Linked DNA regions of Canis lupus familiaris. The protein of the gene in region 1 interacts with the protein of each later gene in a pairwise test. Links are inferred from orthologs where the notes say so. Each region holds a gene or a part of one and is shown in the gene's direction. Other genes may lie near its edges.

What was found.
Region 2: the proteins of EXOC1 (region 1) and NUP54 interact in binary tests that used the Homo sapiens proteins (3 or more experiments, as listed by UniProt). The link is inferred for Canis lupus familiaris from reciprocal best matches to the Homo sapiens genes EXOC1 and NUP54.
Region 3: the proteins of EXOC1 (region 1) and SRGAP2 interact in a two-hybrid assay, tested with the Homo sapiens proteins (2 studies listed by BioGRID and IntAct). The link is inferred for Canis lupus familiaris from reciprocal best matches to the Homo sapiens genes EXOC1 and SRGAP2.
Region 4: the proteins of EXOC1 (region 1) and TRIM9 interact in a two-hybrid assay, tested with the Homo sapiens proteins (2 studies listed by BioGRID and IntAct). The link is inferred for Canis lupus familiaris from reciprocal best matches to the Homo sapiens genes EXOC1 and TRIM9.
Region 5: the proteins of EXOC1 (region 1) and CEP295 interact in a two-hybrid assay, tested with the Homo sapiens proteins (2 studies listed by BioGRID and IntAct). The link is inferred for Canis lupus familiaris from reciprocal best matches to the Homo sapiens genes EXOC1 and CEP295.
Region 6: the proteins of EXOC1 (region 1) and GOLGA4 interact in binary tests that used the Homo sapiens proteins (3 or more experiments, as listed by UniProt). The link is inferred for Canis lupus familiaris from reciprocal best matches to the Homo sapiens genes EXOC1 and GOLGA4.
Region 7: the proteins of EXOC1 (region 1) and DISC1 interact in a two-hybrid assay, tested with the Homo sapiens proteins (2 studies listed by BioGRID and IntAct). The link is inferred for Canis lupus familiaris from reciprocal best matches to the Homo sapiens genes EXOC1 and DISC1.

Annotation. Positions count from the first base shown.
Region 1 is NC_049234.1:48,896,399-48,899,898, forward strand, and holds part of EXOC1 (exocyst complex component 1), read left to right. Parts: intron 1-849; coding exon 850-1,077; intron 1,078-1,280; coding exon 1,281-1,413; intron 1,414-2,063; coding exon 2,064-2,173; intron 2,174-2,939; coding exon 2,940-2,993; intron 2,994-3,500.
Region 2 is NC_049253.1:39,421,719-39,425,218, forward strand, and holds part of NUP54 (nucleoporin p54), read left to right. Parts: intron 1-1,191; coding exon 1,192-1,379; intron 1,380-2,252; coding exon 2,253-2,449; intron 2,450-3,500. UniProt on the Homo sapiens protein: Component of the nuclear pore complex, a complex required for the trafficking across the nuclear membrane.
Region 3 is NC_049259.1:3,089,612-3,093,639, forward strand, and holds the start of SRGAP2 (SLIT-ROBO Rho GTPase-activating protein 2), read left to right. Parts: upstream 1-1,228; 5' UTR 1,229-1,388; intron 1,389-3,066; 5' UTR 3,067-3,609; coding exon 3,610-3,676; intron 3,677-4,028. UniProt on the Homo sapiens protein: Postsynaptic RAC1 GTPase activating protein (GAP) that plays a key role in neuronal morphogenesis and migration mainly during development of the cerebral cortex. Regulates excitatory and inhibitory synapse maturation and density in cortical pyramidal neurons.
Region 4 is NC_049229.1:27,693,587-27,697,792, reverse strand, and holds the start of TRIM9 (E3 ubiquitin-protein ligase TRIM9), read left to right. Parts: upstream 1-1,406; 5' UTR 1,407-1,592; coding exon 1,593-2,414; intron 2,415-4,206. UniProt on the Homo sapiens protein: E3 ubiquitin-protein ligase which ubiquitinates itself in cooperation with an E2 enzyme UBE2D2/UBC4 and serves as a targeting signal for proteasomal degradation.
Region 5 is NC_049242.1:7,153,158-7,157,279, reverse strand, and holds the start of CEP295 (centrosomal protein of 295 kDa), read left to right. Parts: upstream 1-1,322; 5' UTR 1,323-1,326; coding exon 1,327-1,462; intron 1,463-4,122. UniProt on the Homo sapiens protein: Centriole-enriched microtubule-binding protein involved in centriole biogenesis.
Region 6 is NC_049244.1:7,424,008-7,427,507, forward strand, and holds part of GOLGA4 (golgin subfamily A member 4), read left to right. Parts: intron 1-376; coding exon 377-532; intron 533-2,225; coding exon 2,226-3,500. UniProt on the Homo sapiens protein: Involved in vesicular trafficking at the Golgi apparatus level. May play a role in delivery of transport vesicles containing GPI-linked proteins from the trans-Golgi network through its interaction with MACF1. Involved in endosome-to-Golgi trafficking.
Region 7 is NC_049225.1:8,197,899-8,201,398, reverse strand, and holds part of DISC1 (disrupted in schizophrenia 1 protein), read left to right. Parts: intron 1-1,134; coding exon 1,135-2,129; intron 2,130-3,500. UniProt on the Homo sapiens protein: Involved in the regulation of multiple aspects of embryonic and adult neurogenesis. Required for neural progenitor proliferation in the ventrical/subventrical zone during embryonic brain development and in the adult dentate gyrus of the hippocampus.

The DNA of each region.
Region 1 (3,500 bases):
TTCTTTTCATTCCTGGTCCAAGTTTTTTCCTCATACCCAGTTACCTGCCTTCTTTTTTTTTTTTAGTTACCTGCCTTCTTAGTGTGGCTTAGTGGTTTATATTTTCTTTTGTAATTAATATTGGATATTTGTTACAAGTTATCATGTTGCTTCCCAGTTTTATTTTGGATTTGACAGCTTCCATATTTCAGGAAATTTAGAATCAATAGTCAGAATCACTTAGAAAACAATGATAAGGGGATGGTGGTTTGTTCCTGTTTTGCCTGGAAAAAAACATACAGTAATTGCAAATGAAAAAGAAAAGAAAGAAGACAAAAGAAGGAGCTATCTTATGGATATATAGTCTGTGCTCATGTGGTCATGGCTCTTCCACATCCTGTAAGTACCAATTGTACTACAGTTATGAATTAGTTCAGTGTATCCTTCAAAGACTGGTATATCACTGCTACCCTCTTGACTAAGGTATTACACAGGTGATTATGCTTTTTTTTAAGCCTTTTACAAAAACGTAAGTATAGAAAATTTTTATAGCTGGTAGAATTGGAGGTGTCAGAAATGGTAATATGTCAACACCAGTGATACAATGTGGGGCAGAACCCTACTTGTACAATCTGGGGAAATATAAAATACTAAGAAATGGTCCCTAACCTTGATAGAGAGGCAAGTGTATCTTCTTGAAACACTGTGTAAAAAGGGAACATAAAGATAGAGTGATACACTAAAATAAATATGTAGATGCATATCAATCTTTGTTACTCACCTGTCAAAGGGATTTAGCAATATTTCATCTTATGCTTCTTTTATACATTTAAATAATATGAAGAGTTACTCTTGTTTTTCACTTTGTAGGCCAACATCCAATCAATCATGGCCTCTGAAAAGCAAGTGAACATTCTGATGAAGTTGCTGGATGAGGCTCTAAAGGAGGTAGATCAGATTGAGTTGAAACTGAGCAGTTATGAGGAAATGCTCCAAAGTGTAAAGGAACAAATGGATCAGATCTCTGAAAGCAACCACCTAATTCATCTTAGTAACACTAATAATGTAAAACTCCTCTCTGAAATAGAGTTTCTCGTGGTGAGTATTTTGTAAATTGCCACCTCCAACAAAAACCAAAAAAATCTAATAATATATAAAACCCTATTGTAAACATTTATCAATTTCCTTATGAGAGTAAGATTTAAAATAATTCCAAAGACCTTATGATAGGCTTGAGTAGCATGTTACTTGTAAATTTCCTGAAATCACATGTGCAAATGGTATATTTATATATATTCTAGAACCACATGGACCTGGCCAAAGGTCATATAAAGGCCCTTCAGGAAGGAGATCTTGCTTCTTCTAGAGGCATTGAAGCCTGTACCAATGCCGCTGATGCCCTTCTGCAGTGCATGAATGTAGCTCTTCGTCCAGGTATGTTCATTAGAAATGATAAAATCTGACCAAGGATCTGAGACTAAGCCTGTAATTTGCTATAAAGCTTTTAACAAGAAATAACGTGGGGCAAGTGGTTTAAGGTGACTGTAGTATTAGGTCCTCAAACTAGTTTCACTTCTTTCCGAACATGCTTCTTTTGGCACTAAGAACTTTTTCATTTCAGTTCCTATGACTGATCATCAGTGACTCTAGTTAACACCATGATTTTTCTTTAGTACTATGCACAGACCTTGCACAAAGTCAGTGTTTTGATTAGACCAGAGAGCTGAGGTTCTGTTAGGTCAGTCATTCCAAAAACTTGAGTTTGCTCAGAATCATGGAGAGGGTTTGTTAAAACACATATTGCTGAGCCTCACCTCCAGATTCAGTAGGTCTGGGCCAAAGCTCTAGTATCCACATTTCCAACAGTTTCCAGATAATGCTGAGGCAGGACCACACTTTGAGAACCATTGTGTTCTACCATTTTCTTCTCTTGCTTACCTTTTTTATAAAGCAAATGAATAAATCAATAAAACTTTGGGTTCTTCAAAACTGAATGAAATATGGATACTATTATAAATGTATTCATTGAAGATCAGAGAAATCCTTTTACCTATTAAATCAGTCAAGAAACGTTCTGGTTTCAGGCCATGACATGCTGCTGGCAGTCAAACAGCAGCAGCAGCGTTTCAGTGATTTGCGTGAGCAGTTTGCCCGGAGACTGGCCAGTCACCTCAACAATGTTTTTGTTCAGCAGGTAATTTTATTTCATTAATAAAAGTGGCATGTTTCTGTAGCTTTTTTATATATTACTTTAAACTTAAATTTCCACAAAAATTGTAATGTGTTTAATTGGGACCACAGTATATTCCTTCACACATTTATCCAGTTTTGAGATTTTTAAGTATTTACTCATAGATGTGTGTTGGCCCTCAACTGCTTCCTTAGTTAGGCAGTCTAGTTCCTTGCAGCTAAAACTGTCTGATTCTAGAAATCAAATAAATCAAATAATTATGCTTACTTATTAAATATACCATTTATATGTTCTTTATTTATAAAAGTACATCCAAACTTGTTACATATTTGCTACTTGGCCTATTTTATTTTTCAATATTTCGAGATGAGAACCAGAACTTGATTCAATATTTTAAATGTTTCATTGGCTGTATGTATTTTCATATGAGAAAAATAAGTATCACTCAGTTGTTAAGTTCTATTTGATTTAATTTTATATAAACCCTTTGTCTACATTTTTATATGGAAAAGGAGGTTGATAGCTTAGGTTGTGGCAATAATATTAATAATATTAAGAGTACTTTAGCAGGACTTGAATAGAAGGTATTTTAATCTGGCATAAGGATTAGGTTTCTTATGCTTTTCATCTCTTATTAAGGTTATTGAACAAAAAAAACTGCGAAATTTCGTTCATCAAGAAATGCTGTCTGAAACATTGAATTCTTATTTTGTTTTCGCTTTGCAGTATTCTAAAACAATTGTATTTACTATATTTTATTTCCAATTAGTTTACTCAGGCCCTCCTTCAACTCTATAACAGGTCCTACTTTCTTTCGGTGCCTGTGAGTACATCAAATTTGGCTCAAGCTTCTCTGATTTTTTTTTTTTTTTTTTTTTTTGGTCTATAAAGTTTGCTAAACTTAACAGCAGCAGAATCTTTATAGATTATAACTTTACTGACTTAAGCTGCCTGTTAACCATATTTATAGCAGTTTTTTAATGTCCCATAGCAAAAAGGTTATTTTGGCCAAAAAGGCATTTCATGTCCTCTGCTTGCCTCTCTCTTCCTGTCGTTCTTTCACTCACTCCTTCATTTATTTAGAAACATTTTACCACGTGATTGGGATGCATACCACCCATTTTCTTAGGCTAGGTGAGGAGCTGATCCTGTCCTCCAGTGCCTCACAGTCTAGGAGAGGGAGGTAGATATACTTAGGAAGGGTAAATATTATCATAGTGGTCACATGCGCGAACATAAAGGAAGACCATCTTAGCTGAGGGTGTGAGGGAGACACTGGGGAAGACTCTCTTTACGTTTCACTTGACCTGAAAAATATCAAGAAAAAAGT
Region 2 (3,500 bases), on another chromosome or scaffold:
CTTGGAGTTGTGGGATGCAGCTGTGTGTAGGGCTCCTCAGTCAGCAGGAAGTCTGCTGGAGATTCTCTCTGTCCCTCTTCCCTTGCCTACCCAAATAAATAAATAAATAGTTTCTTTTTTTTTTTTTCTTTTTAAATTTTTTTTATTTAAAGATTTTATTTATTTATGGGAGACACACACAGAGAGAGAGAGAGAGAGGCAGAGACACAGGCAGAGTGAGAAGTAGGCTCCATCCAGGGAGCCCGACGCGGGACTTGATCCCGGGTCTCCAGGATCAGGCCCTGGGCTGAAGGCGGCGCTAAACCACTGAGCCACCCGGACTGCCCTGTTTCTTTTTTTTAAAGTTGCATTATAAATGGTGACAAGAGAAGAGGCTTCTATCTAAAAGAGTAATTCTTTAGAAAGGTATAGTTTGTCATATTTAATATTATGTTAAAAACTAACATTTTTCATAAAGTTTCATATTACATGAAACCATAAAATGATGTAGATATTCTTTATAGTAAGTTTGACAGTGTTCTATTTTTAAAATATTTATATTCAGAAAAAAAAGTATAGTAAATCATTTATTTGTGTATCTAAAACTTAGTTTAAGATTCCGTAAGTCATGGGGCACCTGGGTGGCTCCATGGTTGGGCATCTGCCTTTGGCTTAGGTCATGATCCCAGAGTCCCAGGATCGAGTTCCACATCGAACTCCCCGGAGGGAGCCTGCTTCTCCCTCTGCCTGTGTCTCTGCCTCTTTCTGTGTCTCTCCTGAATAAGTAAAATCTTAAAAAAAAAAAAAAAAAAAAAAAAAAAGATTCCATAAGTCAATATAGCAAAATAAATTAGGTCTTGGTCCATGACTTTTGAAACAGTCATTTTTATAATGACATGCAGAATTGTTTCATCAGAGTTCAGGAACACTCAACAATAATGAATATCGAAGTTCTTCAGAGGAGAAGCTATTTGGTTACTGTTAAAGAGGACATTTTAATTTCACTATAAGTTTATATTATCCTTGGGTAAAATAGTTTCTCTATACTTTTGTCATGACCTAGGGCACAGTGTGGTGGGAAGAATCATTCTCTTCATTAGTAGATATTAAACTGTTTTCCCTGTTTTAGCAGGTATTTAAGGTATTAATATTAAACATCTGATGTAAAATCTGTACATTTTTAAAAATTTTGTTTACTTTGTCATTCTACAGGCAGTAGGATATAGTTGTATGCCCAATAATAAAGATGAAGATGGGCTACTGGTTTTAGTTTTCAACAAAAAAGAAACAGATATTCGAAGCCAGCAACCGCAGTTGGTAGAATCATTGCATAAAGTTTTGGGAGGAAACCAGACACTTACTGTAAATGTAGAGGGTATTAAAACATTGCCAGATGATCAGTAAGTATACGTTAAATATATTTATTTCTGTGTGCCTTGGTCCAAAGAGAGTGATCCAACAGCATTTTTGTTGATAAAGCACAAATTAAATCTTAAAGCAGAATGTTATCACTCAACTAGTGATTATTCAGTATTTATAGCAACATTTGTTTAAAAGCTTCTTTTCTTAATCTTGGAGTTCATTTTTTTTTCTTGAATTTTTTTGTTTTTTAGAGGTGGGAAAGGCAGAGGGAGAGAGAATCTTGCAGGCTCCACGCCAAGTGTGGAGGCCAGATGCGGGGCTTGATCTCACATCCCTTATATCTTGACCTGAGCTGAATTCAAGAGTCAGACATTTAACTGGCTGAGCCACTAAGGCGCCCCTTAATCTTGGAGTTCTTAATTTATCAGATGCTAATAATTCTTTAGATTTTTCATTCAGAAACAGGAAGAAACAGTAATCATGGCTGTGTATACAAATCAAAGGCCACAAAGATGTTACTGGAAAGTTTTAACTGATGACTGTTTATGCTCCTTAGTGAGATATAATATGTGAGATAAGCTTCAATAGGATCTCCAAAGTACTTCTCAATTCTGGAAAAGATAGTAATGTTTACATAGGACTTTGCAGCTAAGCAAACCTTTTACAAATATTAAAATGTCTGTCTCATTTTAATTTTATTGTTATCATTTAAGTTGATTTGTAAGTGAACATAATATTAAATAAGTAAAGGTTCCTCATTTTCCAAGATTTAAGAAAATACTCTTTTAATTCTCTTCTAAAATGACGATTTCTGAATTCAGCTAGCACCTTTCTGAAATCACAGCTGCACTGTTACTGAGTTGTATCTGTGAGTTGTGTGCTATTTTATAACTTGTTTATTTTTCCCCCAGGACAGAAGTTGTCATTTACGTTGTTGAACGCTCTCCAAATGGTACTTCAAGAAGAGTTCCAGCTACAACACTATATGCCCATTTTGAACAAACTAATATAAAAACACAGTTGCAGCAACTTGGTATAACCCTTTCTATGACTAGAACTGAACTTTCTCCTGCACAAATCAAACAACTTTTACAGAACCCTCCTGCTGGTAAGTTTTTAGTCACAGAGTTGAAATGAAATATTTAGAAATATATAAGCTTCCTCTATTTTGGAATGTATTAGTTGATTATTAATAAAACCAGTGTTTATTATGTCTGCTAATTTGGGACAAAGTTTTAAATGTTTTTATCGTATGTATTCATTTAGCTTTTTTATTATATAGCTAATATGTTTGTTAGAAATTTTGGAAAATAAACAAAGAAAAATGGTCCATAATCCATCTACCCAAAGATAATTCACTTTTAATATTTTTATTTGTTTCTAACTTATCTCTTGTTCTGAGTATTCAAGTAAAATCTAAAAAATGTGTTCTTACAAGGGGTACCTGGGTGGCTTAGCAGTTGAGCATCTGCCTTTGGCTCAGGGCGTGATCCCAGGGTCCTGGGATCGAGTTCTGCATCGGGCTCTCCGCAGGGAGCCTGCTTCTCCCCTCTCTCTGTGTCTGCCTCTTTCTCTGTGTCTCTCATGAACAGATAAATAAAATCTTTAAAAAAAAAAGTGTTCTCATTGAAAAGGATTATAGATGGCATAACTAGATGGACTGTATTACAGACCCTTTATCTCCTTTGCACAGAAATAGCTACTACTAATGATTGTACTCTATTAGTCCTTTATTTTTTTTATTATTTTTTTAAAAGATTTTGTTTATTTATTCATAGACACACAGAGAGAGAGAGAGAGGCAGAGACACAGGGAGAGGGGGAAGCAGGCTCCATGCAGGGAGCCCGATGTGGGACTTGATCCCGAGTCTCCAGGATCACACCCAACGCTGCAGGCGGCGCCAAACCGCTGCGCCACCAGGGCTGCCCTCTATTAGTCCCTTATCTGTGATTTTAATATAACATATATATATATGGAAATCCTTTTAAAAAAAGGATTCTGCACTGTACATCAATTGCAACTTGCCTTTTCAGCTATAGTATTTCTTAGTACTTCCTTTTTTTTTTAAATTTCTTTTTATTGGAGTTCAGTTTGCCAACATATAGCATAACACCCAGTGCTCATCCCATCAAGTGCCCTGCTCAGTGACCATCACCCAC
Region 3 (4,028 bases), on another chromosome or scaffold:
GGAAGGAGACCAGTCCTTTTCTGTTTTCCCTGGGGGCGGTGAGAGCAATGTTTATTGGGGAGGAACAGGGCGAAGCAGCAGATGGGGCTTTCCTGGTAACTTTCGGGGGAGGGAGTGGGGTGCGGAGAGGGGAGGCGGCTGCACTCCTCGGCCCCCGCCCCAAGCTCTCCTCCCGCCGGGTCTCTGCGGGGCGCCCCCCCGCCCCCCCGCAGGCCCCTCCCCGGAGCGCTCTAATTCCTCGCCCGCGGTCGCCGGCCAAGCGTCCCCGACCACGCCGCCTCTCTGCACGTCTTCCTCCGCGTGCCGGGATCCGGGAATCCGCTGGGCTTCGGTTCGCCCCCGCCCGGGAGCAGCCCGTGTCGCCTCCGTCCTCCCGGGACCCTCCGCCGCCTTCCCCCGTGGCAGCCCCCGCCCCAGCCCTCGGCGCGCCGGCGGGCTCTCGCGCCGTCCCCCCGCTCCGTCCCCCGCGGCCCCGCCGGCCCCTTGGGTCTCCGTCGGAGCGGCCGCTCGGGGCGCGCGGTGGTGCCGGCGGGACGGGTCAGAGGTCGCCTGTGGGGCTCAGTGGGCGCCGGGCTCTCTGTCACCGACGCGTCGTTTTCTGCTCGCTCTTCCGCTCTCTCCGCCTTCCCAACCGGCTGTCAGTTTGAATTGCCGGCGCCGCGCACCGATTGGGAGAACTAGAGCTCGCCCGCGTCCCGCATTGGCCGGCTCGGGAGGCTGCAGAGATCTTAGTGGCTCGGAGACCGTAGGCCCCGCCTCCGCAACGGTGCCGAGACCAGCGCGGCTTCTGGTTGGCCGAGCTTGGCTCCGCCTCTGCGCTCATTGGGCGGCGGCCAGGCTGGGCCCGCCCTCCTGCCGCCCCCGTGGAAGCGGCGAGGCCCGCCCTTCGCGCCTCTTATTGGGAGGCTTCCCACAGGGCCCGCCGGCCTCTGCTCTCCATTAGCTGCAATTCTCCGCAACGCCCCTCCTCCCTGCCCCGGTCCAATTGGTCGTGCTTTCCCTCAAGAGCGTGTGCTTGGCTGTTGGTTCCCTTTTAATCCCGCCCATTAATTCTACCTCGGGGCTCGGCGGCTCTGGGAGGAGCTTACCCTGTGACCACGCCTCCGCGGGGCTAGTCCCGCCTCCAGGTTTCGCCAGCTCCTCCCCCCATTCCCGTCCTCGCGGGATCGGCCATTCCTATTGGCTCCCGGGTCCATCGGTCGATAGAAAGTGGGCGTTGATTGGTAAGGGGGCGGGCTCCGCTTCCCGGCGGGGTCCTGCGGAGTTGGCGGAGGCTCCTCTGGGGACGAGGGGACCGATCTGCGTAGAAGCGGGTGGCGGGGAAGAGGGGAGGAGATCTCCGAGTGGGAAGCGGAGCCGGGGCCCGAGACCCGTCGCGTCAGAGCCAGGTAAAGGCTCCTTGCCTCTCCCCTCGCCTCCTGCGGCCGCGGGGCTGGAGCCCTGACTGGACGAACCCGGGCAGGGGCGGGAAGGACGGGGCGCGGATGCTGCTTGCGGCGTCGCCCAGCGGTGCCGCCCGGAACCCCTCTGACCCCCCCCCCCCGACCCTCTCCGGAGCTCCCAGGACAGCCCGTGATGCTGTCGCCGCACAGCGGGGCTCTGCCCTGGGACCGTGCCTCCGCGCAGCCCGCACCCGGCCCGCTCCCCAGCCCTCCGCGCGCGGGCAGCCTCGGCCACTGCTGGGCAGCCGTCGCCGGCGTCACCCGTAGCCATCGGCTGCCCGCTCGCCAGCCGCCTTACAGCCGGGACCCAGCCCCCGGCCCGCCTGGGACGGCTCCTTTCACGCGCTCGCGCTCGCAGACCCGTCGCGGGGCCCCCGCGCTGCCCGCACTCCCGCCCCTGTAACGCCGCGGCCCCCCGTCCCGCGCTCCCCCCCGCCCCGGCCGCCCAGGCCGCCCTCCCTGCGCCCTCTCTCCACCCGCAGGCGCGCGCCGAAGCTCCCGTTATCCCCGGCTCCGGTGCAGCCGCTGGACCCCACCTCACACCCCTCCCCGCTTCCTGCCGGCCTGAACCAGCACGCCGCCCGGGCTCCCTCCTCCTCCCCGCGCGGGAAGTGGGAGCCCCGGCCCCGGCGGGAGCCCCCCCGCCCCCCGCCCCCCGCCGAGGAGAGGGTAAGGGGCGACCCAGGAGGGAGGGGCGCCTCCGCGGCACGGTGGGGAGCCTGACGGCCGACTGCGCTCCCGCCGCTTCCCTCCCGCCTCCCGGGCCTGGGCCAGGGCGGGATTTCCTCCGGCACCTCCTGGTGCGAGGAGTCGGGACTGCGACCCTCCCAACACCCCCCCCCCCCCAGCCTGGGTCTGGGTGCGGTATTCGGGTTGGCCGGGCACAGTGACAAAAAAATATTGGGGGTGGCATTTAAGAGTCGCTCTGGTCCCTGGCTGGGGGGAGGCGGTGGCTGCCTCCCGTCCCCCGCCTCCGGGTTTTCCCGACTCCGACCCTAGCCTCTAACCCGTTTCCTGCTTCTGTCGACCACATTGTTTTCCTGGATGTGCCCCGTGCCGAGCAGGCTTTTTCCTGCAGGTCTCCTCCCCCCCCCCCCCCCCCCCGCCCCAAACATTTTGCTGCCAAGAGAAGCTAGTAACCAAAAACAAAACAACTGGGAGGAGGGGCGGGAGGGGAAGAAAAGTTGTGCCCGGGTGGCTTGTCCCTCCCTGGCTTTGATCCCTTTTGATGTCCTGGGAGTTGCCCCAGCCCGGGGTCAGGGGCCGCGTCGGAGCCACTGCGGAGGGTGCTCCCCGCGGCTGGCCGCTCCCCAGCGCTGGCGGGGCTCGGAGGCCGCCGAGGTGCCGCAGTCCCCGCCCGGAGCCCCGCGTTCCCGCCGCAGTCCCCACCCGAAGCCCGCGCAGGCGGCTGCTCCAAAGTGTTTTCTTCCAGCCCTAAAACAAAATCCGGAGGGAGCTTCCTTCCTCCGCACCTCGCCGCGCCGGGCTCTGTGGGCCGGGCGGTGTTTGGCCGAGATGAATGGGCCAAGGCCCGGCTCGGAACGACGTCCCCTACCCCACCCCCGCCGCGCTTAGGATCTGCGCTGGGGCTCATCGCCCCCTCCCCTTTTCCCTGCATTTACAGGCAAGTGAACCGGAGCAAACGACTTCCGATCCAGTCTGCGCTGCTGCGGCTCCCGTTTGGGATTTGATTTGCAGCATCTTCGAGCCTGTGCAACAAAAACCCGCGAAGCACGCCCAGCCCTCCCCCGGCACCCTTTTACGCACCCACTCCCTCCCGGGGACACAGCTGGGCGCGTCCACACCCCCGCACCCCCCACACCATGTTGTGCGGAAGGACTTCCACTCCCTGCCTCAGTCGTTGATGTCAGACCCCGGGCCAGCCTCCGGGCGCTGCAGTTCTCCCGGCTAATGCTGAGGCTGCGGCTCCGGCTCTAGCACAGAAACCAGCTGCCGCCGCGCCCGGCCCCAGCGTCCACCGTCTGCATGTGCCCGCCGTAGCCTTCAGCCCAGCCCGCAGCCCGCGCTCCCCGGAGCGCTGGAGACCACCGCGGGGGGCCCCTTCTGCCCTTGGGAGAAGCGGTCTTGGAGGTATTGATTTCGGTGGTTGGATTTTTCCCGTGGATCTATCAATTCATAATTTGAATTTGGAAGAAAGAAGGAAAACATGACGTCTCCAGCCAAATTCAAAAAGGATAAGGAGATCATAGCAGAGTACGATACTCAGGTCAAAGGTAAGGGCTTTGAAAAATTGCATGATGCATATGCTCTGTGGACCATTGAGGCATGTATTTCCACCCTGATTTGCAGGATGTTCATTTCTCTGGGTGGAGCAGGTGGGGGCAGGCTGAGCCCAGAGGTGGTTTCATAGGTGGGTTTGAGCCTCCAAGGGATGGGCTGTGCCAGGGGCCACCGGCTCTGGAAAGGAATTTTTAGAGTGGGCTGTAGGTTTGTTCTTGTAAGGGCTGGCCCTGATTTTGGCAGCCCTCTCCCACAAGCTAGATAGGGTGGGGGGAGGGGCGGGAGGTTCTTGGGGGAGAGAAAGGTGGCAGTTTGCCTCTGGGTGTCTGGGTCAGGTTTCCTTGA
Region 4 (4,206 bases), on another chromosome or scaffold:
ATCACTCAGCAAAAGGCAGCCACGTACTCTTTCAAATAGGCTGCTATCTCAGAATGTCACTGTCACTTGACTCAAAGATTTTTCTTTTTCTTTTTCTTTTTTTTTTTTTTTTTTTTTTTGGAGGGGCGAGGGGAGTTCCTCTTCCTCCTCCATCATCAAATGAACAGTTCTGTGGGCGAGAGGCAGGACCAGATATCTCCATCAATATTTGGGGATAGGGAGAAGGGTGCTTAATATATGAGGACTACCCCTAGATCTAGCCCCCATCCCCCTACTTGCACCCCTCCACGAGGACCCCCGTGCACTTCAAAGGAGGAAACAGAAAGAACCCACCATTCTGAAGCTGTGATAAATGCTCAGGCCACGTGACACTGTATAATGCTGTTTGGATTCAAACACTGAGACTCCGCAGTGACACAGTGATTCGTCTGCAGCTAGTTACTGAACTGTAGGCGCTGAGCAATAGGCAACCCTGCCTGACCTGCCTCAAACCTTGCGAAAGCTCGGCCAGGTGCGAGAGCCCCGTGACAGCACCGCTTTGGGAGGCAGGGAGGGTGAAGAGGGGAGACAGGCACGTTCACACCGTTAGGTTCACACCACGCCCGGAGAAGCCTCTGGGCCGAGCCTGATTTTTAAGCGGGAAATGAAGAGTTAGAGATTTTTTTTTTAGCTACCATACTGAGCCTTTATTTACATCGGTCACCTAGCTGCAATCTCATGGCAACACTAAGAAATCGGTATTCTTAATTCCCCTCTTAGACCTCAGGCAGTGAGGGTGAAAGGAGCAAAGAGGCCCTTCCTGGGGGCTTTTCCGCCCGGGGCTGCAGGCTCCCGGGATGGGGAGCGCCGGGGCCGGGCGGTACAAAACCCCGGGCCCGGGGGAGGCTCGGGCCCAGGCAGGCTGCGGGCAGCGGAAGGGAAGGAGGGGTCTGGCGGGCGCGCGGCCCTCGCCCGCGGTACAGGTCGGCGCGGGGACCAGGGCTGGAAGCCAAACGCAGACGGTTGGCGAGCAGCCCCGGCCCCCTCCGTGGGCCTGCTCGCTGCGGGGAGGGCTTTCTCACGCCCCCTGCTCTTGGGAGACGGCGCCGGAGGTCGGAAGGAAGCGGGGCGAGGGATGAGTCATCCCGCCTAATTCCTCCTTCCCGGTCCCTCGCCTCCGCACGCCGCCCCCTCCCGAGATCCTGCAGCCGGGAGCGGAGACGCTCCTCCTTAGCGTCGGCTACCAAAGCCCCCGTGGCCTGCGGAAGAGAGGAGAGGGACGGGGCGCGCGGCCAATCAGAGCCTCGCCCTCTCGCCGCCAGCCAATGGGCCGCGGCTTACGGGGCAGGGCGGGACCAGAGGGGGGCGGTCCGCGGCTGGCGCGCCGCGTCGCGGGTCCGCGGCTGAGAGAGAGAGAGCGGCTCGCGGGGAGAGCGCCTGGCGGGGATCGGCGCCTGATCGACGCGGGAAGGCGCAGCCGCCGCCGCCGCCGCCGCCGCCGCCGCCGCCGCCGCCGCCGCTGGCCAAGGTGCTGGAGACGACAGGCCGGTCGGCCGCCTCGCCCGCTCAGGCACCGTTGCAGCCGCCGCTGCTTCGCTCCCAGCCCGGTCCTCATGGAAGAGATGGAAGAAGAGTTAAAATGCCCCGTGTGCGGCTCCTTCTATCGGGAGCCCATCATCTTGCCCTGCTCTCACAATTTATGTCAAGCGTGCGCCCGCAACATCCTGGTGCAGACCCCGGAGTCTGAATCCCCCCAGAGCCGCAGGGCCTCGGGCTCCGGGGTCTCCGACTATGACTATCTGGACCTGGACAAGATGAGCCTGTACAGCGAGGCGGACAGCGGCTATGGCTCCTACGGGGGTTTCGCCAGTGCCCCCACTACTCCGTGCCAGAAGTCCCCCAATGGCGTCCGCGTGTTCCCCCCGGCTATGCCGCCACCGGCCACCCACCTGTCACCGGCCTTGGCCCCGGTGCCCCGCAACTCCTGTATCACCTGCCCCCAGTGCCACCGCAGCCTCATACTGGATGACCGGGGGCTCCGCGGCTTCCCCAAGAACCGCGTCCTGGAAGGGGTAATTGACCGCTACCAGCAGAGCAAAGCCGCAGCCCTCAAGTGCCAGCTCTGCGAGAAGGCGCCCAAGGAGGCCACTGTCATGTGCGAACAGTGCGATGTCTTCTACTGTGATCCGTGCCGCCTGCGCTGCCACCCTCCCCGAGGGCCCCTAGCCAAACACCGTCTGGTGCCCCCGGCCCAGGGCCGCGTGAGCCGGCGGCTGAGCCCGCGCAAGGTCTCCACCTGCACAGACCACGAGCTGGAGAATCACAGCATGTACTGCGTGCAGTGCAAGATGCCCGTGTGTTACCAGTGCTTGGAGGAGGGCAAACATTCCAGCCACGAAGTCAAAGCTCTGGGGGCCATGTGGAAACTGCACAAGGTGAGTCCTACGAAAACCCACCCCTGACTCCCCGCGCCCCCGATCCTCCGGCTTTGCAGCAGAAGGTCCCCTTTCTGCGCACCGTGCATCCCAGCGGGGGCGCAATGCAGGTTCTCCTGTATCTGCTTCCCCCGTCTGGTGCACTGCAGAAGCGCAGGAGGACCTGAAACCGAGCGCAGGGGAGTTGAATATCCCCGGAGAGTTGTTGCGGGGACGCCTTAGAACGGGTCTCCCGGGTGCCCTCTCTGCCGCGGAGGCGCAGCCTGCGGCCGCCGCCAACGAGCCCGAAAGCGCTGCGTAACTGGGCAGAGGCGCGCCGCGCGGGGGGGGCTGCCAGGAGAGCTCCGGGGCAGATCCGGCTGCGGTCCTCGGAGACCAAGTGGGGGCGGTGGGGAGGCTCAGAACAGCCAAGGCTGGAGCTGCGGGATTGGCGGGCTCTGGGATTCGCGGCGGGGGCGGGGAGAACTCCGCGGGTGGAATACTGATGAGTCCTCGCTGGAGCAGATGCAGGACCGGGTGTTTTGCCCCAGGAGACCCGGGAGTGGTGTGGCGCGGGGGCGGCGGGGTGGGGGTCGAATCCTGTGGTCGCCACGGCAACAAAGCTGCGGGTCCTGACCGCCCCTGGAGCTAGGGACCTGCGGCTGAAGTAGCGGGACCAGAGGTCTCTGCGTCTAGGCCTGAAAGCTAGGCAGATGCGTAACCCAGGGTAACCCCATCCTCCCAACCACCACACAGGCATTTTGTCCAGGAGTCAACCCTTTCCCCCTTTCAGTAGTCGTCTTTGCAAGCTTTGAGGCACCTGTTACCACCAGACTTACCTTTCTTGTCTCTTTGGACGGTGCCCCCACCAAAGCTAGCTTCAAGAAGGGTCCTTTAACAACGTTTAGGTTTAGGTATGCCACTTCTCTGCTCAAAACCCTCCAATCGTCCCCCACATTTCTTAGAGAGTCCCTAGAATGGTCCACCAGGACCTGCTTGACCTGTTCACATTTGGCCTCATGGACCTCATTTCCTCCCCAGCTACACTGTCCCTCAAAGAACATCAGACAGCTTCGGGCCCCGGACCTTTGCGTTTGATGTTCCTTCAGCCTGGGACAGTCTTACCCAAAACCCTATCTTCCAACGGCTCACTCTCTTGCTTCCTTCAGATTGTTGCTCAGATGTTACCTTTGCAGTGAAACCCTTCTAAATACAGTTGCTGCCACTAGCCTCAGACACTGCTAGCTGGCATGCTATATATTTTCACTGTTACTTTCGTATTTATCTATTGCTTCCTTCTGCACACACGAGAAAGTAAGCTTTGTGAGGAAAAAGATGTTTATAATAATGTTAAGCCACCCTGCTTAGAAAGAAGGAGATGTGTATAAATTTCACTTTTAATTTTTAAATAATTTGCTTGGTTGGGATGCAAAGGGTAGGGCAGGAGTTCGGGATTATTGTAGGGAGATTTTCATATCATTGAGCTGCAAGCCCAAGGATCAGGCAGGGGAGTAAAGATGGTGTCCAGGCCTCAACTATGTCCCACTCAGGGTTTCCTAGCATTTCTTGGAGACTAGAAGGGCTAGCCTTTGAGAGAGACCATGGGGTTAAGGCTAAAACATTGATATTTTATTTACAGCAAGAAAAGAAGTAAGATATCACCATTTTCAACCATCAGGGAGGTTTTCTCAATTTAGTATTCATTGAATGTGATCCATGTTTACAGTTATTTGTGTTCTCACATATAACCTATTAAATCTTATTCGTACTGATGGAAATTTAAGTCAGCACAAATTTGAGCCCTATTAGGCAC
Region 5 (4,122 bases), on another chromosome or scaffold:
CCAAGTCTAAATGCTAGCACGATTCTGTGGGCTGTCTACCATTGTAGTCATCCACTTATTGCAATCACACAATGCAAGAAAAATTCAACACGTCCAGAGCTGAGCTCATCACCTTGCCCACTTCACTGACTTCTGATTTCTCCCTTGGTTGATGGCACCACCATTAACATTGTTGGTGGCCTATGAAGTTACCTTCACTCTCAACTTTTCCTTCAACTTCACATGCAATCTTTAGCCAGCACTACTAATTTTGCCCCCTAAATATTCTACAATTCCTTTGTCTAGATGTCCCATAAATAGCTCAAATTCCAAATATTCAAAGCTTGACTCATTACTTCCCCCCTTGAACCTGCTCCTCTTCCTGAGTTCTAGCAGGACGTTACCCCCATCCACTCAGCGGCCAAACATAAAACTTAGGCGTCATGGTTGATCTCTCCCTCTCCTTTGCTTTCCATAACCAGGTAACCACCAATTTCTGATGTTTGGCCTTCTTTGCCTCTTAAATATACCCACTTGTCTCCATTTCTCGTTGCGATCACCTTTTACTTCCTGTAGTAGTTCCTAATTGGTTTCCCTGCCTTGAGTGTTCAGCCTTCACCCTCTCTGGCCTCTTCTCCACCACGAAGCCAAATCTGATCATGTCAGCAACTTCTGTCTTCCCTACTCCCCATATTCTAATTTTTTTTCTTTTTGTTATGTTTTACCTCCAGGCTACAAAATCTACGATAGGGCTTGGATAGTCCATTTACCCTCGTCTCCCCTGCACTTCCCACACCGTGCTTGGCACATGATAATTGTTCAATAAATATGAACTTGCACTCATCCCCTTCTGATGCCAGGTTATTTGTAGCAAGTAAACCTGGGACATGTTCTAGATGTACTGGCTCTCCGGAGGCACAGAGTGCCACGATCTGATTCACCGGTGTGCGAGCTGGACCCTTCCTGAGGGCCATGGGACACTAAGTACAGGATAACGGCCCCGAATGAACTGTAGAGTCGGTGCACAAAGGGATACACATGCCGAGGCATCTTCCTAATAGGGCTTAAAATCAAAGGCGTCGCCAACGCTCTGGGCCAATATCCCCCCTTTCTGGACCTCGTCTCCCGATCCGTAACGGAGCACAGCTGAGGCACGGCAGGCAGCACCGCAGCACACCTGAGAGCCCAGCCGGGGAGCTGCGAGGAATAATGGGCCCGCACGTAGGGGTTGGCGCATGCGCGGGTTCCCCCCTCCCCCCCCCCGGCGCGGCCTTCCCGGCGGCCCTCGCGGGAGGCGGGACCAGGCCGATGCCCGCGGCTCGGCCCCGCCATTGGCGGGCCGTTTGAATGGCGGAAGTGACGGGCGCTCGGCGATGGCTGCCCCGCAGGCGCACAGACGGCGGTTGGGGAGCTGCAGGGCCGCGGGCGCAGGGGCCTTCTCCGTGTGAGCTGCGGTTCCTGACTCCCGGCCCTTGGTACTCGGGTGAGTGGCGGACGCCGGCTGCCAGCGCCGGGGCGTGCACAGGTCCCCGGAGCCAGGAGCTGGGGCTGTGCTCCTCAGGCAGCGGTGCCGAGAGGCCCGCGGTTCTGAGGCCCCGGCCGGCCCCGGCGGGCTGCGGTCGGGGAAGCGTGCGGGGAGGGGAGGCGAGCGCGGACGCACACCGGCCGCTTGCTGCGAGGGGCTGCTCCCGGGCGCAGGCGCGTGTGGCCGTCCGCGCCCTCCCGGGGCGGGGGTGGGGGTCGCGCGAGGCCCTCGCGCTTCCTGACCCGGGGCGGCCCCGCGGGCCTCGGAGGGAGCTCGGCCGCAGGCGCTTCTCGATGCTTCCTGCCTGCCCTTCCCCCGGGACCCCCGCAGACGTGGCCTGAAAGCTGGGAGCCCTTGGAGAGCACTGCCTGGAATTGTTTCTTGCAGAGAGCGTGCTCTTTTTTTGCTGTCTCTCACCTTTAATTTGTCCGGTAGTTAGCCCTGCCGCAAACTGAGCTTTTAAAACATCGGGGTACACTCTGAGTATTTGGCAGTTTCACATTAAGCCACGTGATCATCAGGACAACCTGTTGGGGACGGTGTTATGATTCCCATTATGTAGTTTAAGAAAATGAGGCCATAGTAATTTGAGACTTCTCCAGTGTCTTCCTGCTTGTCGGTGGTCATGATGAGTCTTGAACACACATCTTCTTAGTATTTTGTGGTTACGAAATGCCAAGTGCCATTTAATCCTCAGGACAAAAAATCTTGAAAGATAAGTTAGTATTCTCTGTTATTGGATAATATTAATACACGGAACTTAAAATGATTTAACAAATAAGAGAGGAGCCGGGGAAATGCTTCCCTAACAGTAGGATTCCAGTTGATAAATGTAAAAGGGATAATGGAAATAGAAAATGCTTTTTTTTTTTTTTTTAAGAAAATGCTTTTTGGTAAACGCTGTAGTTAATGCTTCAGACAACCCTCAGTGGATACGAAGGAGCAAAGGTATAATCAGAAACATGATATTTATATATAGCCTCAACTGTCTCTCTGGGTACTTATAAAAGTGGAGAGAACTGTGGACACCACTTAACCACGGTTCAAAATAAACATCACCAGTGTAGTAAGACACCTTAACATAATTTAATGTGCCGAGAAAGGGTGCATCATCACATCTTCACTTCTGTGGTGTTTTTGCCAAAAATGTGTAATCTTAGTCTAACCATGTGAAAAGATTAAGCAAATCCCAGTGGAGGGACATTCTACAAAATAACTGGGTGACAATTTCAACAACCATGAGAATGTAATTCACAGACCTCAGCTTCTGTATATTCTGAAACCCATTTGCATGGATGCTTCCCAAAGGCTGTTTCTGGCCAATGACTGAGAATGGCATGGGCACTGAGGCGGACCTCTTCCTGAGAAGCAAGGGACTTTCCTTTAAGAACTCCGCCATCTTACCGAATCTTCTTTAGACTGCATGGCAGTCATCTACCCAACCTTCCCTGACATTGACATTCAGTGACTGAATGACACTGACATTCATTCAGTGTCAGATTTGCATGGAAATCTGAAAAGCTTCCAGCGTTTATTCCCTCCCATTTTCCCTCACACAGACCTTTCTCTTAATAAAATTTTTGTAGGCTTAATCCTATCTTGTCTTCTGCTTCTTGGAAGACCCAGAGTAATACAGCAGTGGAAAGCAATGGATTGTCCTTGGATGGATCTTAGTTCAGAAAATGGGTGTTAGTGGGATACTTAAAATCTGAATAAGGTCTGTAGATTAGTTAAACTATTGAGCTCGTGTCCATTTCTTGGTTTTGATCATTGTGCTGTGATTGTCGTCTAGAGAAGCTAGGGAGAGTATGTGGGAATTCTAAGTCTGAAATTATTTCCAAATAAGTTTAACAATTAAGAAAGTTATATGCAAGAGAAAAGTTACTCTACCGCATCTCAGGAGGTAAAAGTAACAAATGTGTGTTTTTGTATCATCCTCAAGCTAATGAGATGATAGATACTCAAAACAATATGAAATTTTTTCCCCTTTTTTATTGACTGTAACTTTAAAATACACAACTCTCTGGCAGCCTGCGTGGCTCAGCGGTTTAGCGCCTCCTTTAGCGCCTCCTTTGGCCTGGGGTGTGTGATCCTGGAGACCCAGGATCGAGTCCCGTGTCGGGCTCCCTGCATGGAGCCTGCTTTTCCCTCTGCCTGTGTCTCTGCCTCTCTCTCTCTCTCTGTCATGAATAAATAAATAAAATCTTAAATAAATAAAATAAAATACACAACTCTAGGGGTGCCTGGGTGGCTCCGTCGATTCAGCATCTGCCTTTGGCTCAGGTCATGGTCCTGGGATCAAGCCCCACATCAGACTCCCTGATCAATGAGGAGCCTGCTTCTCCCTCTGCTGCTCCCCCTACTTGTGCTCTCACTCTCTCTTTCTCTCTCAAATAAATAAAATCTTTAAAAAAGTTCACAAATCTATCATTTGAAGAATATTTACATATGTATATACCTGTGTAATCATTACACAGATCAAAATACAGGCCATCTCTAGCATCCCTGCAGGCTCCTTTGTGCTGCCTCCTAGTCATTAACCTACAGAAAAGTGAGCCCTGTTTTAATGTCTGTCATCATGGAGTAATCTTGCTTGTTTTTGAACTTCATATAAATGG
Region 6 (3,500 bases), on another chromosome or scaffold:
TCTAGTTTCTTGGCTTAGAGTTGAAATAATCAAACTCTGGAGTGGAGAGAAGTAGCAGTGACAATTTTGGGAGCCTTCACATTAAGCGTGTTTTGCAAAACATTTTAAGTAGTGGAAAAATAGCAGATGTAGTGGGGTTACTAGAACAAAATTTTTCTTATCAGTAGTAATTGTGGCAAATATTGGCTAGATCACACTGGAAAAGCCACAGTGCTTTGTTTCTGCACACTAGAGCCTGGGAAGAGAGAAATGATGATACTGCCTACCTCATAGAGCTGGTGTGCAGATCAAATGAAAGACCTGATTCCTGTGGAAGTACTTTGAGAATGCTGAAGATTTATGTGGGTCTAAGGTGGTATTTTTTTTTTTGGCACAGGAAAAAAGTCAATCAGAATATTTGAAGATCACCCAAGAAAAAGAACAGCAAGAATCTTTGGCCCTGGAAGAGTTAGAGTTGCAGAAGAAAGCAATCCTCATGGAGAGTGAAAATAAACTTCGGGACCTTCAGCAAGAAGCAGAGACTTACAGAACTGTAAGTTTAAATAATATTCAGGTTCCAGAGTTGTGGAATTATTTGTATAGAAACTATTGTTATCTTTCCAATCAATATAAAGTTGTCAAGAAGCTTTTGTTTTACTGGGTTAGATTTACATACATGCACTTCATTTTTAGATAATAAGAGCTTTTTCTGTGAGTGGTTTTAGTGTTTGCTACATGATGCTGCTGACTCTGCCTTTAGCTGGCTGTGTTTCTTTTTTTTTTTTTTTGCTGGAGGTGTTTCTATTGCCATTCACTATCTTTGCATTTGGGCTTTGCATCCCCACTCCATTGTTTACTTGCCCTTGATCTGTAGGAAATGGCCTCGCTTTGTAGGCAGCATTTGCCCTGGCTTCATCTCATGCCATGGACATGATTCATTCTCTGTTTCTATCACAATGTAGGCACCCCAATGCCCTGCTTTTAACATAAAGTTTCCCCCAATTTTCCCATGTTAATAACATATCCTATAGTGAACAAATTTATATATATGTCTCAGGGTACACATTTTTAGGCCCTCCCCTCAGCAGTATATGAAATGTATGACCTGTTTTGAATAAATTGACTGATGTTATTTAGACTTTTTGCTTTGGTTTAAACAGTGAAAGAATCACACTTTTTCCCCATAATTCTAAACTGTACTTTATTTTCCCATTGCCGACATTTATGTAATGTGGCATGATGGAGGGGAATGGATACTCAGGAGGTCTAGATTTTTCCATTTGCTAGCTTTGTAAATTAATTTTTTTTAAGTGGGGGTTGGGGGATGGTGATACCTATTCTTTTTTTTTTTTTTAAAGATTATTTCTTTATCCATCCATCCATTTATTTATTTATTTGACACACACAGAGAGAGAGAGAGAGAGAGAGAGAGGCAGAAACACAGGCAGAGGGAGAAGCAGGCTCCACACAGGGAGCCCGACATGGGACTCGATCCCGGGTCTCTAGGATCAGGCCCTGTGCTGAAGGCGGCACTAAACTTCTGAGCCACCCAGGCTGCCCTGTAAATTAATTATACCTTAATTTGTTCACCTTCATATGGAGAAATTGGTTTTGGTAATTCCTTAGGACCTTTTCAGTTTTGATGTTGCATGCCTCTGCCTTACTTAGCTCTTTTTGCTTTAGAGTCAAGATTGACTTTTTCATGAGCTAACAGTAATCTTTGCTAAAATTTGTGTAAGTAGCTTCTTTTTGCAAAAGATATCTCCTAAATAATCATTTTGCAGTGGAAAACCCAGATATATTATTTACCTTCCAAAATTAAATTATGAAGGTAATAGAATATATTCTAGGCCTTAAAAAACACACAGAAAAAAAATAACCATCTTACTATCCATAGTTACTATTATCTACTTTACGATGTATTTCTTTTTAACTATCCATTCAGAATATTCTTGAAAACATGGGTGACTGAAATAGTTAAAGTATAGGTAGAAAGAATCTGAAATTTTAAGTTGTGTTAAAATAGAATCTTTTCTTTGTTATGTGATTCCTTTAGGAATTGAGCACAGATTGTGCTTTCTAGTGTTTGGCATGATATAATGCCTTATTTTTCTAAGTTTTAATCTTTAAACAGGTGTAGTTATTATAGGTGTAGTCATATATATCATTACATGTGTTGTCATATATATCATTGCTAATAAACAAATCTGTACTTTAGTAAAAAATACATCTGTTTTTATTAACAGAGAATTCTTGAATTGGAAAGTTCTTTGGAAAAAAGCTTGCAAGAAAGCAAAAATCAATCTGAGGATTTAATTATTCATTTGGAAGCTGAAAAAAATAAGCACAATAAAGAAATTACAATCATGGTTGAAAAACACAAAACAGAATTAGAAAGCTTGCAGCATCAGCAGGATACCCTTTGGACTGAAAAACTCCAAGTCTTAACGCAACAGCATCAGACTGAAATGGAAAGACTTAGAGAAAAGCATGAACAAGAAAAAGAAACATTGTTGAAAGACAAAGAGAGTGTCTTCCAGGCCCACATAGAAGAGATGAATGAAAAGACTTTAGAAAAGCTTGATGTGAAGCAAACAGAACTGGAATCATTGTCTTCTGAACTGTCAGAGGTACTAAAGGCCCGGGACAAGCTAGAAGAGGAGCTTTCTGTACTAAAGAATCAAGCAGATAAAGTAAAACAGGAGCTAGAGGCCAAGCTAGATGAACAGAAAAGCCATCACCAGCAGCAAGTTGACAGTATCATTAAAGAACAAGAGCTGTCCATCCAGAGAACTGAAGAGGCACTAAAAGATGAAATTAATCACCTTGGGCTTCTTCTGAAGGAAAAGGACAAGCATTTGAAAGAGCATCAGGTACGTGTGGAAAACTTAGAGGCAGATATTAGAAGGTCTGAAGAGGAACTCCAGCAGGCATCTGCTAAGTTGGCTCTCTTTGAGTCACAGCAGAGTACTACACATGAGCAGGCCAAAGCATCAGAGGAGCACTTGGCACAATTGCAGCAGAAGTTGTTGGACTTGGAAGCAGAAAGAATTCTTCTTACTAAACAGGTAGCTGAAGTTGAAATGCAAAAGAAAGATGTTTGTACTGAGTTAGACACTCAAAAAATCCAGTTGCAGGATTTAATGCAGCAACTTGAAAGACAGAAAAATGAAATGGAGGAAAAACTACAGTCTTTAACCCAATGTTATGAGTCCCAGCTTAAAGATACTAGCACAGAACAGGCACAGACAAAACAGAGTTTGATAGAAAAGGAAAATGTAATTTTACAAATGAGAGAAGGACAGAGCAAAGAAATTGAAACACTTAGACAAAAATTATCAGCCAAGGAGGACAGTTTTAGTGTTTTACATGAGGAATACGAAACCAAATTTAAAAATCAAGAAAAAAAGATGGAAAAAATTAAGCAGAAAGCAAAAGAGATGCAAGAAACGTTAAAGAAGAAATTACTGGATCAGGAAGCCAAACTTAAAAAAGAGCTTGAAAATACGGTTCTAGAGCTT
Region 7 (3,500 bases), on another chromosome or scaffold:
GGAGACTGTGATGCTGGTCACTCAGTCACTTGCAGGGGTTTCTGAATGCCAATTTCTCTGAGCCTCAGTTTCCTTAACTGTAGAAGGAACAGGAAGTTCCTTTAAGGAAGTTATACTTCCTAGTCTGGTTGATTCGCATAACTTTGGTAGGGAGCAAATGAAATTAATGTAGATGATGCCCATATTCTGAGTACCAATGTGCTGTGCAATAGAGAAATAATAACTAACATCTTCAGCACACTTATGTGTGCTAGGCCCTGTTGTAGGCTGTCTACCTCTAGTGACTCATTTAGTTAAGTCTCACCCTGCGAGAGAGGTACTGGTAATGTCTCCATTTTACTGAGAAGCAAGCTGAGGCACAGAGAGGTTAAGTAATTTGTGGAGGTGAACAGGCAGCAATGGCACAGCCAGGGCTTAAGCCAGGCAATGAGGTGCCAGAGTCTGCTCTCAACTGCTATACAATCCTGCCTGAGAGCTATCAGCATTTTTTATTGTTTCTATTCCTTTTGCAGAGCTCGAGGGGGACATAGTCCCTGGTTTGTTGAGCACATCAAGCAGGGCCTCCCGTGGTCCACTGTGAGAGATGAACTGATGGCCATAAATTGTGCCCCAGCTGGCTCTCCATGGTCCAGAGACGTGCTGGGACACGGAGAGCTCAGATAATGAAAACTCACATATTGTTCAATAAGGAGCTAGAATAAGCGATCGGATCTTGTTTTGAGGAGTGTGCTGGCATTTGCCTCCCAATTGTTTGCTTTCAGGCCCACTCTGGGATAAAAGTGCTGCGGTGCCTAAGAGCCCAATAGGCAAGATGCCAGAGGGTTCAGAAGGAGCCGGCGAGGTTGTAACTCCAGTGGGCATGTTGACATGCTGGCATAACTCACAGCAACGCCAGCTGCTCTGCTAAACAGAAGAGCGGAGACGCTGTGTTTCTTCTGTGCATTCCAGGCAAACACTTGGAGAAGATCGTCAGAATCTTCGTCCCGGGTTGGCCCCGTGACCACTGAGCCAGCATCTCCCTTTGACAGATACACAGAGCGGCGACCTCTAAACCTAAGATGCTCTCCAAATGCAGTTCCAGCTGAGCCAGTGAGCTTTGCGTGTTGATGGTGCTGTTTTCTCTTTTCCTCCTAGGCAGCCAGGATTGCATACCACCTGCAGCGTCTTTTCGGAGGAGGCGGCTGGCACGGAGGCCGGGCTACATGAGAAGTGCAGCTGGGCCCCGGATCGGGTTCCTCTACCCAGCAGTGGCCGCTCCGTTCCAGGCCCAGGGAGGGGCGTGCGGTGAGGAGTCCCACCAGTCTGAGTCCAGGGCCGGACGGTGTGGCCTTGATTCTGGAGGCCAGTGGCGAGGCCCCTCGGTTGGGAGCCCTGTTCCTAGGAGCACAGCAGCCTCGGCTCCGACCTCTGGGGGCTACCTAGGCCTGGCTCTGACCCCTGTGAGAAGGCCCTCGGGGCTCTTTGGGATTCAGCTCAGAGCTGGCACCAAGCCACCTGCCAGGCCAGCCAGGTCGTGTGGCCCTGGGGACACTGGGTGGCAGGGGGAGCTCCCATCCATGGACAGTTCTGAGGCTCCAGGTCCTGGCCGGGATGCTGCTGGAGGCGGTACCTGGACAAAAGGCTGTCTGTCTCCAGAGGAGGCAAGTGGCAGCAGCTACAGCCTTGGAAGTGTCCCCAAGGCCCCCCCAACCCCTGCTGGCTCTCAGGATGCCTTTACGTCAAGCTTTAGCTTCATACGGCTCTCACTTGGCTCTGCTGGGGAACGTGGAGAAGCTGAAGGCTGCCTGCCATCCAGAGAGGCTGAGACCCCTTGTCAGAGCCCCAAGGAGGCGGAAGTGAAGGCTGCCAGCATGGACAGGCCCCACGAACATCCTCGACTCTTCTCTCCCCACTTCACTCTCAAGACTATTCCCAGCCTGGCGGACTCTGCCCAGACCACAGGGGGCAGCCACAGGCCGGAGTGTGACATGCTTTCTTTGTTGGACACGGACACTGCCTCCTCCTGCTCCCCAGGCCCCTGGCGGTCTGAGGGCAGCAGCCTGGGGGAGGCTCACCTTTGGGAGACGCTGCTCAGGAGGTGCGAGCCTGTGCTGCTGGACTGCCTGCTGAGCGACCGGAGGCAGCTGGAGGTTGGTGTCTCCCAGCCTCTGGGGGCCCGCGAGTGTCACGAGCTCAGGCCAGCTTTGGGCAGAAGGCAGGAAATGAGTAGTTCTGGGGTTGACCACCGACTTCCCTCTGGGAGCTGCAGCAGCTCCTTTTGTAACTGACGGCAAAAAGATGTTGCCGTAGTTCTGTTTCTTCTCTTTCTGTTTGCACACAAATCTGTTCTTGTTCTTGTCTTCTCTGTCACTTGAATGCTCAGATTTGCTCTGTGTTGAGCAGCAGGTTCCTCTGCAGTTCCTGGCCTACGTGATGTGTGGTTAGCTCTGCCCAGCTCTGCTTTGAAACAGGGAATTGGGGGCAGAGGCAGGGGAGCTGGGGCTGGCTGGCCTGTGGTTGAGTGGTGTGAAGATGGAGATTGACGCACCATATTGGGGGTGAGGCTGAGCTTCATTTGCATTTCCTGCAGCCCTTGCATTTCATCCTGCTCAGTGGGCCCTGCCTGACGCAGCCAGGAGACTTTGCTCCTGGTCATTACTTTGGTCAGGCTCTCAGTTTCCTTATTTAAAGATGGTAACCTTGCATGGGATTTTCTGTGGCTGCAGTGAGAAGCTAAGGGCTTTTGGAAGCTAGGGGGGGCTGTATACATGCAAACTCTGGCATCATGAGTGTGTTGTGCACCCTGTTATCAGAGAGGTGGTTACAACTGTGAATAGGCAGGGTTGTTCTACCTCCAAAAAATCCGAAGAGAAACCCAGCCTGAGATGCTTTGTGGCTGACCCATTGGGCTATGTGACTGCATTTTCCTTCTGTGTGCATATGATGTGTGTGTATGTGTGCTGACATTTGTACACATCCACAAGGAAGTAGAACAGCTACTCATCAGGCATTTGGTGGAAATACCTGAAAATGTGAAGGTCATGTTCATTCCAGCAATTGCATCTCATTTACTTTCAAATCTTTATGTGTGGCCTGATGTTCCTGGCCCTGTCCCTGTTTGCCCTGTGCCAGCCCTTGGGGACCCCAGCCATATGATTTATATCTCAAGGAGATTGTGAAGCCAGGCTGGATATGCAGACAGGGCTCTGTTCCCAGGTGATGCACAGAACCCTCTAGTTAGATGTGTTCAAAATTGATGTCATTGTCTTCCCCAGCAAACCTGTTCTAAAGGGCCCTAGTCTTGGTACATATATTTGTTGATTTTAATTAAGAGCATCCGTTCAGTTTTTTAGAGAAATTGCAAGCATCTTCAACACCTCTCTCATCCTCATAGTCCTGCAGCTAACCTCCCTCTCACAGCCGCAGCCTCTGCCCTGGTTCAAGTCCTTGTTATTTTTAACGTGGGTTTTGTAAGAGATTCTTGACATATTTGCCTTTCTCAGTGTCTCTTTTCCAGTTCA